Linked DNA regions of Sus scrofa. The protein of the gene in region 1 interacts with the protein of each later gene in a pairwise test. Links are inferred from orthologs where the notes say so. Each region holds a gene or a part of one and is shown in the gene's direction. Other genes may lie near its edges.

What was found. The genes of interacting proteins can lie anywhere in the genome.
Region 2: the proteins of PRPF40A (region 1) and CCNL1 interact in binary tests that used the Homo sapiens proteins (3 or more experiments, as listed by UniProt). The link is inferred for Sus scrofa from reciprocal best matches to the Homo sapiens genes PRPF40A and CCNL1.

What each region holds. Positions count from the first base shown.
Region 1 is NC_010457.5:60,435,893-60,441,107, reverse strand, and holds the start of PRPF40A (pre-mRNA-processing factor 40 homolog A), read left to right. Parts: upstream 1-1,736; coding exon 1,737-1,901; intron 1,902-3,037; coding exon 3,038-3,169; intron 3,170-3,661; exon of another isoform or gene 3,662-3,892; intron 3,893-4,507; exon of another isoform or gene 4,508-4,539; coding exon of another isoform or gene 4,540-4,587; intron 4,588-5,215. Other genes in the region: ARL6IP6 (ADP-ribosylation factor-like protein 6-interacting protein 6), read right to left, coding at 73-469.
Region 2 is NC_010455.5:96,999,151-97,004,365, reverse strand, and holds the start of CCNL1 (cyclin-L1), read left to right. Parts: upstream 1-1,946; 5' UTR 1,947-1,950; coding exon 1,951-2,253; intron 2,254-2,545; coding exon 2,546-2,620; intron 2,621-3,112; coding exon 3,113-3,222; intron 3,223-4,996; exon of another isoform or gene 4,997-5,144; intron 5,145-5,215. Other genes in the region: VEPH1 (ventricular zone-expressed PH domain-containing protein homolog 1), read left to right, coding at 1,674-1,946. UniProt on the Homo sapiens protein: Involved in pre-mRNA splicing. Functions in association with cyclin-dependent kinases (CDKs). Inhibited by the CDK-specific inhibitor CDKN1A/p21. May play a role in the regulation of RNA polymerase II (pol II).

The sequences.
Region 1 (5,215 bases):
GAGAAGGAGCTGAAGCCGAGAGCCACGTCCAACCTCAGCTTAAAAAACTATACAGTTTCTGGACTTCAGTACCTTTTACGATCAGGTAGGTGATGGCGAGGAGGAAGGCAAGGAGGATGGCGAACAGCAGCGAACAGAGAATTGAGAGGACCTGGACCGGCCAGCGCCGAGCTCGGGTTCGACCGCCCGCATCCGCCAAGATGCCATTCCGCTTATCCGCCAGGAGGGAAGACCCGTCCCCATCTGGCCGGAGGAGCGAGTCCTTTCTAGGTTCGGGCGACGCCCTGGCCGAGAATTCCGCTCGCAGGTCACGGGCTACTCGGTCGCATCCCTCCTCCTCATCGACTTCACCCTCACCCCAGCTGTCTCCCTGAGTGGAAGCGGAAAATGCCGGCCGAGCGAACGGGACAGGGGTACCCGGACGACGGCGCAGAGGGGCCGGGCGCCTCCCGCTCTCCACGAACGACATGGCGGGAAAGACAGTGAGGCCCAGAGAGCGAGCGTTGTTCACCAGCCCCTCCCCGCGGTCCCAGCAGCCAATCAACGGCCCCCCCCCGGCCTAAACCACCAGACAGAGGCGCGCAGGGGTGCGCAAGGGTGGGCGGCTGGGCGGGTAAGGTGCTGTGGAGTTGGAGAGGCTGGGCGTCCCAGGATCAGGGTACTACCCTCAAGCTGTAGGAGGGAAGGCGAGCAGAGAAGAGCGCAGAGGGGAGGAAAGAAGAGGCCGAAGGCAGTCAAGTCCCCTATCCCTGCACAGGTTCGTCTCGCCCTGAGACCTCGGCCATCGCAGCGTCGCCTCTAAGCAAGAGCGCGGCCCGGCAGCCCCAAAGTCGCACCTTCGTGGCACCCGGTCCTAGCGCCCGCCATGCGCCCTAATACACATTACCGACTCAATTTGTTTTCTCACTTTTACGCCTTACACTCGCTCCTACCTCCACCCCCGCTTCCCTCCACGGCAGTTCACCACCCCGCACCCTCACCTCCCTTAACAGCCCATTCCTCCTTCCCTTACGTTTTGTTCTCCCCGCCCCACTACAACTTCCCACCACGCAGCTTGGCACGCCTCCGGCTCCCCTCACTCCCCTATCCCGGCGCCCGCTCCCCAGTTGGATCTTACGGAGATCGAACCTTCTCAAGACCCCTCCTCTAGCCTTCTTCGCCCCCTCCCTCCAACTCGATCCGCCCCCCGCGCGCGCGCGCGCGCGCGTATCCGGCCACCGCTAACGCTAGAAGCTTTCCCCACCCCCACCCCCACCCTACCATCCCACCCCACCCTACCACCCCACCCCACCCCAGGCGGCCTCAGGTTTGTGGGGGCGTACGTAACTCGGGCGGGGGGTGAAGGTGGCAGAACCCCACTGCCCCACCCCCTTCGGGGTGAGGCGAACTAAGCTCGGGAGGCTGAGACACAGACGTCTTCCCTTCCCTGGGGTAAGTTACTGGAGTTTTTCCCCAAGAGGACTTGCAACAGAAACTTCCTCCGTCCCCCTCCCCCCTCCATGCAGGCGACGCCGAGTGAGGCTGAGGTTGGGAGCGAATCGCCGAAGAGCTGCGTGTCGGCAGCGCAGTCTGATTGGACAGCGGAGAAGCCTGTCAGCTTATTGGCCCCGCTGGTTCCGCCCCGTAGCGCAGGGCAGCCTTTAACCTTTGGCCCCAGTGGGCTCCAGCCACTCAGATCGCTTCTTGTTGGTATGTGTAGCGGCAGTGGCCGCCGGCGGAGCAGTCTGAGCCCGACGATGAGGCCGGGGACGGGAGCTGAGCGAGGAGGCCTCATGGTGAGTGAAATGGAGAGCCATCCTCCCTCGCGGGGTCCCGGGGACGGGGAGCGGAGATTGTCCGGCTCAAGCCTCTGCTCCAGCTCTTGGGTCTCTGCTGACGGCTTCCTGAGGAGACGGCCCTCGGTAAGGGATCGGTGGGGCAGGGGAAAGCGGCACAATGAAAACGGAGTCAGAGAGAGAGGAAGCTTTCTCCCAAAGGAGAAGAAGATGAGAGTGGACGAAGGAAGAGCTCGAGATGGTGGGATATGTTCCGGGGGAGAGAAATGGAGGGCGGGGGTGCACAAAGAAAAGGAAGTGGGACCCTGGAAGTTGCTGGTGGGTTTGGCCTAGGCAGTTGCGCGTTGGTTGTGCTGGTCGCGGGCGGGGTGAGCGTTTTGGAGAGGTAGGCCTGACTTAGCCGTGTTGGGGAGGCGGAGATTTGATTCTGTAGAGTCTAAAACAGGCTGCCAGAATTTCTTCACCTGTGTTAGTGGTGTCCGTAGCGGGAGGACAGCTGGGAGAATTGGCAGGAGATAGTTACCTGGTTTTAAGGCCTGGAACAATGAAGACACAGGTAAAGAAAGTAGTTGTCTTTTTATAGGAGCTCGTTAAGATGGATGAATTAGTTATTTACTTTAGTATCTATGAATGACAGACCTCGGTCTTTGGGATTTTTTTTTTTTTTTGGCATAAGTAATTTTTCTCAAAGATTCTGTTGTAAGTAGTATGTTTATGTATTAAGAGTGAAGTGTTCCTGAGGATCCATACTGTTGGTGTTTTATAAGGGTAGCCCTTATCTGAGTTAATTTGGTAACTTCGGCATTTTAAAGTTTAAAATCAATGTAGAAAGTAAGGATAAATGGCGCAATAAAATAAAAATAAGCTGTCTTATATCTGTGAAGTAGGACAAAGCTGTGGTTTTCACCATGATAGTTTTTAGGCTGGCGTTTAAACTGTATTCTCTCACTTTAGCAAGCCATTTAGTAATTGATTAAATCATCATGTTTTAAAAAATGAATTAGGTATCCAGTAATGATTTTAATTTTTTCCACTTTCTGAAATTTGCTAAGTTGCAGATTTAAGACCAGAAAGTAAATGTTGAATCAATAGTTTAGTCACATATTAGACAAATATAATGTTATGCGCATAACTGACTTGTTGAAGTCAGATTTTTGAGAAGCATTTATTAGTCTTCGTTAATTTTTGAGATGCATTTATCGGTCTTTGCTAATTTGTAAATTTTCCTTTTTTTTTTTTTTCTTTTTTTTTTTTTTTTTCAGATGGGGCACCCTAGCATGCATTATGCCCCAATGGGAATGCACCCTATGGGTCAGAGAGCGAATATGCCTCCTGTACCTCATGGAATGATGCCGCAAATGATGCCCCCTATGGGAGGGCCACCAATGGGACAAGTAAGAATGTTTTGTTTTACTATGTATTTATTTGTTTACTTTTTACCTCTGGTGTTCTTGTGTCAAAATTCAAAATCTGGGTCAATATTTGCAGCTGTTTTGAGTTTTAGTTTATGCCAAAATAATATTTTCAAATAAGTGAAATGTGGAATTGTGTCATTTACCAAATTTGTTTGTAATGGAAAGTCTTCTGTATGAGAGGTTAACTTTCTGAAGCAACAAAGCTGAGTTGTTTTTGTTTTGTTTAATTTGAAAGTAGCAATGTATACCTAGGCTTTTTAGTTTAATTACTTTTCCCCTCCAAGTATGTCAGTTGAAGTAAATATACTATGTCAATGTAATTTATATTGGTGGACCATGTCTATGCATAGAATCTGGAAATAGCAATTGTTTAAGCCTTTGGCTTAGAATGAATTTTATTCCTGAAATAGCTTCCTATTTGTGGTGTCTGTGTGGTGGGGGTGGGTGGAGGTGGGAAAGTTCTACTCTGATTTGGTTTTTCATAGGACGGTGCCATATAGTTCATTTTCCACTTACACTGTCTTGTGTCCTCGTTTTTTTTTAAATGCTTATTGCTTCCGCACTCCTGCTTTTGAGCTGTCCCTTCCATCTCCAACATAAATTGTAAACAGACATTTTGTGGGAGTGATTTGGACCAAAAGGTTTTAATGCTGATTCAGTGAATTCAACAGAACTGAATTCCTAGAAAAGCATCCTAGAAAGGTAACAGGTTCAATTACCATAACTAATTTTGTGCCCCCTCTGAGGTTCTATTATACCATATCTTTTGGTGGCTGAGTTCTTTCCATGTAGTATCACAATAAAGCATCAAATATTTAGGCTAACAAAAAATTTGGAAAGCCAATCAATTAGGTATGATCTTTTTGTTAATTAGTACTGTTTACTTTGATAATCATTTAAGCCTTGATGGTTTGAGTTACTGGTGAAATTATAGTGGAGAAAGGAGCTCTCTCTGTGTGCTTCTTTTTACATAAGAGTAGAAGAGCTTAATGTCAGGTGGTTTTCTTTTTTATTTGGAGTATAGCCCGTAATTTTGTATAAAAGTCTTTATTCAAAGACACTATGCCCAGAAGATTCTGCCTTTAGGAGTTCTTTAAATAAAAAACTATTTATTCTGTTACTCTGGAATAATACAAGTTTTAAACTCCCTAGTTGATGGAGAAACAATTCTGATTTCCTCTTCTGTTTCTTTCCATCTCTAAACAGCAAGGAGCTCTTATTTTCTTAGTAGAGCTACTCTAACTAGATAATGAGCTTTAAAAAATATTTATTCTTTAAATGCTCTGGTTCTTATTTAAAATTAGTTTCTTTCCACAGAAAGATAAAATAAAACAATTTGCTACTGCCAGATGCTTCTCTCTTTTCTGGGGCCTTCTGTTTCCATTGGGCCAATCAAGGTAAGTTTTGCAAGGGATTGACCTGCTTACCCTTGCTGTATTGGTGCTATTGCACTATCAAAACCAAGATACCAGCTAGTTTTTCTAGTTCTATGCAGATCTTATTTTATTTTTTAAGTACTGTCATGTTTCTCATTGACATAAGCTGGTCACAGTTTGCTTTACGGCCCCTTCTCTTTAGCTGTATGGTGCCCATCTTCCTAGTAAGGTTACTTGCTACTTGGCTCACATCCATTCAGAAACTCTGAATTTTTACCGTACGGTTTTCTTCTACTTTTTTCCTAGGCCAGTATATGCCATGGGCCTTTAAGCTTACCTCATTATATTTAGATGTTTAGAAGTCTGTCTCTCTCTGTTGGCTCCTGTTAGGATAATGAATGAATGCCTTAGAGTTCAGCTCTGAGGGACTCAAGAGGACCCCTTTTTTTCCCTTTTAAATTAGATTATTCTTTTTTTTTCTTTCTTTCTTGATATCTAACAAATATTGGGCCCAAATCTTGGTAAAAATTCTTATTTTAACTTTGTTAACAGTCTGGGAGGGTATGGATAATATAAAAATCATGTAGTCCAGAAATCTGATTTAAAGCCCTATAAACAACTTCCTTAAAATAAAAAATATTTAGCAAAA
Region 2 (5,215 bases), on another chromosome or scaffold:
CCACTATGCCACTATGGGAACTCCTGTTATAATCCCTCCTGAATATTGGAGAGGGAAACTTCCCTGGAAGCAGCTTAGTCAGACAGGTGAAGGTAACGTGCAACGAGGTCAAGTATTTCAGCTAGCACCAGAATTACACTCTCTTGGAGCTCTGTTTCTCAATCCTGGCTGAACATTCCAATAACCACTGGCTGGGTCAACCCCAGATCCATTACATCAACCCCTACAATTCAGGCTCAAGCATAATCAGTATGTTTTAAAAACTTCTCTGGGGGTTCCCATCATGGCTCAAAAGAAGGGAATCCGACTAGTATCCATGAGGATGCGGGTTTGATCCCTGGCTTCAATTAGTGGGTCAGGGATCTGGTGTTGCTGTGAGCTGTGGGATAGGCTGCACATGCGGCTCAGACCTGGCATTGCTGTGGCTATGGTGTAGATCCAATTCCGTCTCTAGCCTGGGAACTTACATATACCTCGGGTGCAGCCCTAAACTCCTCTGAAGATACTTATGTGCAGCTAGGGTTCAGAAATACTGATGTAAATCTTTACAAAGTAAGGTGGATTGAATTCTTTTTTTAAAATGAGTTTTTGAATATGTTTTGCTTTAGAGACATCACTAACAAATATTGCAGTGTACTCAAATTCCTTTTGCTCTATGGATCCAAGTTTTAATTCATTTCTCATAATTAAACCTTAAAATTGAACTATGTGATAGAAAGATGATGGGGCTTCTCATTCCTGGACAATGTCTCCAAGGTCTAGACACAGAAGGAGTAAACAAAGATCTACTCTCTTTTAACTGAATTTACCTTGTGTTAATTTTTTCTGTACAGCAAAATGATTCAGTTTACAGAATCTTTTTTTTTTTTTTAAACAAGATCTACTCTTTTTTCCTCCCACTCTAGCCTGTGGTAGTTTGGATCAGTATCATTGTTTTTATTTCAAATTTGAGGAAATTTGGAGAATTGCTAATATCAGAGAGGGAAAAATACATATAAAGAGATTGATTTCTCCCATACTACCTAATTGCAGTAACCTCCATGAATACATAGACTGCCGGGCATAATCAAATTACCTCTGTAAAGTCTCGACCTAAAACTATTTTTGGAAATTAGGGATTTTCCAGATTAGTGAAAGCTGTGGCTTGTCACTAGCTCAGGCCCGAGTTTCGCAAGCGAAGCTGCTAAAGCAGTCTCTCTCCCAGTCAATACGAATCCCTCGCCATACTTAGATACCTCTGGGAACCACATGCTCATCTGACAGCTTTTTTTTTTTTTTTTTTTTTGAACCGATGTAGTTCACAAGCCTGTTTCCCAAAAATACTGTAAAGCAGCCCTTTCCAGATTCCTTGTGGGTCACTTTAAATTACAAGTTCGTCCATACAGGACATCAGAGTAACCATTTCCACCAGCCAATGCCGGCGAAGGTCGTTCGTCCTGATGCTTCCCTTTCTACTCGCTGAACCCGAGTCATCCAAACGCGAAAAGTTAGATGAGGTAGAGACGGGAGCAAAGAGATCCACGTTCTAGACAAATTATCAAATTAGCGCCAGGGTTATTATAGTAGTAAACCTTGAGAACTCTAACTTGGCTATCTCGTAAAGCCCCCTTATTATTCTTGTGGTTAAAATACTACAAACAGGCGGTTTAGACCTGGTTTATCCAAATTGACAGTTCCCTCGACCACTCTGGGGTCTCAGCGGAGAAGTCACCCTAGACTCCCTCCCGGTGGGGGCCACTCTGGGCGGACAGAGGAGCCGCGGGAGGACACCTGGCCTGAAGGGACTAGTTGGCGCGCACTGGATGGGCGTGGTGACGTCAGGGCGGAGGCGCACGCTGCGTGAAGCGTCTCAGAACCCGGCGGTCACGGGAATATCCGTCGCGCCGAGAACGCTGGTTAGTCTCACTCCGGTTCCGGCTGCGTTGGGTGTGCGTGCAGCTCGCTGAGACTATGGCGTCCGGGCCTCACCCGACCGCGACTGCTGCCGCCGCCGCTTCGTCGGCCGTCCCGAGCGCGGGCGGCTCCAGCTCCGGAACGACGACTACGACGACGACCACGACGGGAGGAATCCTGATCGGCGACCGCCTCTATTCGGAAGTTTCGCTCACTATCGACCACTCGCTGATTCCGGAGGAACGGCTCTCTCCCACCCCGTCCATGCAGGACGGGCTCGATCTGCCCAGCGAGACGGACTTACGCATTCTGGGCTGCGAGCTCATCCAGGCCGCCGGCATTCTCCTCCGGCTGCCGCAGGTCAGTGCTGCGGCCCCGGGCCGACCGGGCGCGCCTTTTCTCCGCGGCGTTCCCGCCGCTGAGTTCCGGCACCACCGGGCCCCGGCAGGGTGGGGATGTCCCCTTGGGACGCTCCTGTCCGAGCCCGGGAGTACAGCGGGCGGGAGGGCGTTGGGCGACGGAAGGACCGGGCCCGGAACTGTTCGCGGCAGGGAGGGGGAGGGGGAGCGAGTGGCGGCACAAAATGGCGGCGGCGCCGGCTGGTGCGGGCCCGTCTGACCCCTGCGCTTCCGTTCTCCTTTCTTGTCTGCAGGTGGCGATGGCAACGGGGCAGGTGTTGTTTCATCGTTTTTTCTACTCCAAATCTTTCGTCAAACACAGTTTCGAGGTAAGCGGAGCGGGGGCGGGTGAAAGGGGATTTCTTCATCCGGAAATGGGAAGGAGGGAGGGGGTAGGGTCATCAGCCAGCTTTTCCAGAAAGGGAGTGGTTAGTTTAGGCCTTTGTACCTAGCTTTCCCTCACTGGGAAGTGGGGACTTTTGAAATGTGTTGTAGAAGTAAAAGATGGATCTTGAGCCCTGGTGCCCTACACTATGAAGGATTAGAATTTTCAACCAAATGCAATATTCCTTTGAGATTGACTTTGGTTCTGGATTCAGAATTAAGAGACATTAAGCAGTGAAAAGAAACCATCATATTAACATAGTTGGTAAGCCTACGGCCTAGAAATGTCAGTTGTGGTTTTACTTCATCAAAGGGTGTACCAGTTTTGTCCAGAAGTTTCTTCATCAGAATAAGTTACTTAGATTTTGAGAGTGGCACTTTTTTTCTAACTTTATAGTTCTGTAATCTAACAATTTTTTATTGGGTGATTCTTTCAGATTGTTGCTATGGCTTGTATAAATCTTGCATCAAAAATCGAAGAAGCGCCTAGAAGAATAAGAGATGTGATTAATGTATTTCACCACCTACGCCAGTTAAGAGGAAAAAGGTAAGATTGGCATTATTGAACACAGCATCTCATGATACTACTGTTCCAATCATCAGATCAAAACATTCTTTCTTCTCAAGTTAAAATTGATGCAGAGGAAACCTGACTTTAATTTAGGCGTTAAAATTCATGTAGGAAGACCTCGATACTTAAATTTATTTGAAACACCAAAATTAACCAGTTATCTAAAGTTTGTAGAGGCAGTTGCGTTTATGGACAATCCTAACAGTGCTGTGAAGCCAGTCCTGTGGTTTAAGATTAAACAAGAAAGGGAGTACGTTTGGCTCAAGTGTGAGTGTATTCTGTAAGTTATTTTTCCCCTATCCTCTGTGGAAGACTGAAGACTGGGAGTTTGTGAACATGGCAGTTCAGGTTAATGTTGTGGCAAAGGTTTGTGTAGATTGCTTTTTCCACTTGAAGTCCCAGATAATTTTATCAGTTGAGGTTGGCTTTTGTTGCAATACCTCTCAATATTGAACTATGATATATCCTGTAATACCAGATCTGAAAGGACTGCATGATGATAAATACAAAGTTTGGAGTTTGGAATCAGAGATTAAATAGGTATTTTGTTTTGGTCAGATACAGTCTTAGTTGTTTAGAAAAATAACTGGTTGAGTTGCATTTAGATAAAGCCCATTTGTCTAACCTTGTAAGAAATTAGAGACCAAAGTAGTGTTGTCTAGGTTTTGTGGGTATCTGCTAACACTTTATGTGGACTTATGAATTCTTGTGAGGCAGTATGAAAAAGTTGTAGTGTTTTCTGCACTTATAGATGACTTATATAGAACATGTTGTGGAAGGGTATACTTGATTATATAGATTAGTTATTATGCTCACTTCTTAAGGAATTGTGTTACTGGGTAAACTTGTTTTGAGCTTGAAAGGAAGTTAGTTGTAAAAGGATTTTAAGTTGTTTTGGGTTTCGTGTTGGTTAGTACCAAATTAATATCCTGTGTCATTGGTCCTTATTTGCTGAGTGTAGGTTTGCAGCATGGAACTATTCAGAGACAAACAAGTAGTAACCTTAAAATGATTAGCCTATTTAGAGTCTGAAACATTGCTGCCCTAATAATCTTCACAGCATTTTTCGTTTGTCTTACATTCTTTGTTTCACCATCTTTTCTCATTCGTGGTAACCATATCCGGGGTAGACTAGTATTTTATTTCACTTAAAAATACCTTTTAGCTTCTTGGTGAGGAATCAGTCCCTGAAAACTGCAAGGTTTTCAAATTGGTGTCTAGTATGGTCTGAGCTAAGATTTATATTTTGATCTAGCTAATTCTTCAGGGTGTTAAAAACAAAAAGACACTAATAAAAAGGTTCTTTATCTTAGTCAAAGGATTCCGTGTTCATTTACAGGAAATAGTTTTCTGTTAGTGTTCTTTGAACCATTCAGCTAACTAGTATCATTTATGATTATCTACTTTGAAATTTTTCTTTTGAGTATTCATCCTTGAGGTCAGAGTAGGTCTTCTTAACTATAAAATCTTTGGAATTTAAAACATCTCACCTGATTTGACTGTTGTGTGTCTGATGTAACAGTATGGGTTTTTTTTGCTTTTGGGGGGTCAGTAATACAGACAAATTGTTTTTTGTCTCAGTCTTAGCAATCAGGTTATAGCATGACATTTAAAAGGAGTTATTTGCATGGAAGCCTTTTTTAAAGCAGGATGTAAAAGTGTTTCTATGCATATTACAAGTTTACTCAGACAGGTAGCTTGTATATGTTATTAACTTCAACTCTTTTTTCCCTTGCAACCGACTATACAGCGACCAGCTACATTTACCAAAGCCTGGGTGATGTGGAGTGGTACATAGCGATGAAGCTGTCGTCATGGCAACAGTGAGTGAAGTATCGAAAATCCCCAAGGAGAAGCCAGTGCTCTGAGAATAGGTCACTGGAATCGGGGACTAACAGGTTGGCCACTGGTGAACCATTTAGAAAAACTCCTGTTTCTTGTTATAAGCGTTTGTCTTTGCTGTCCAAGT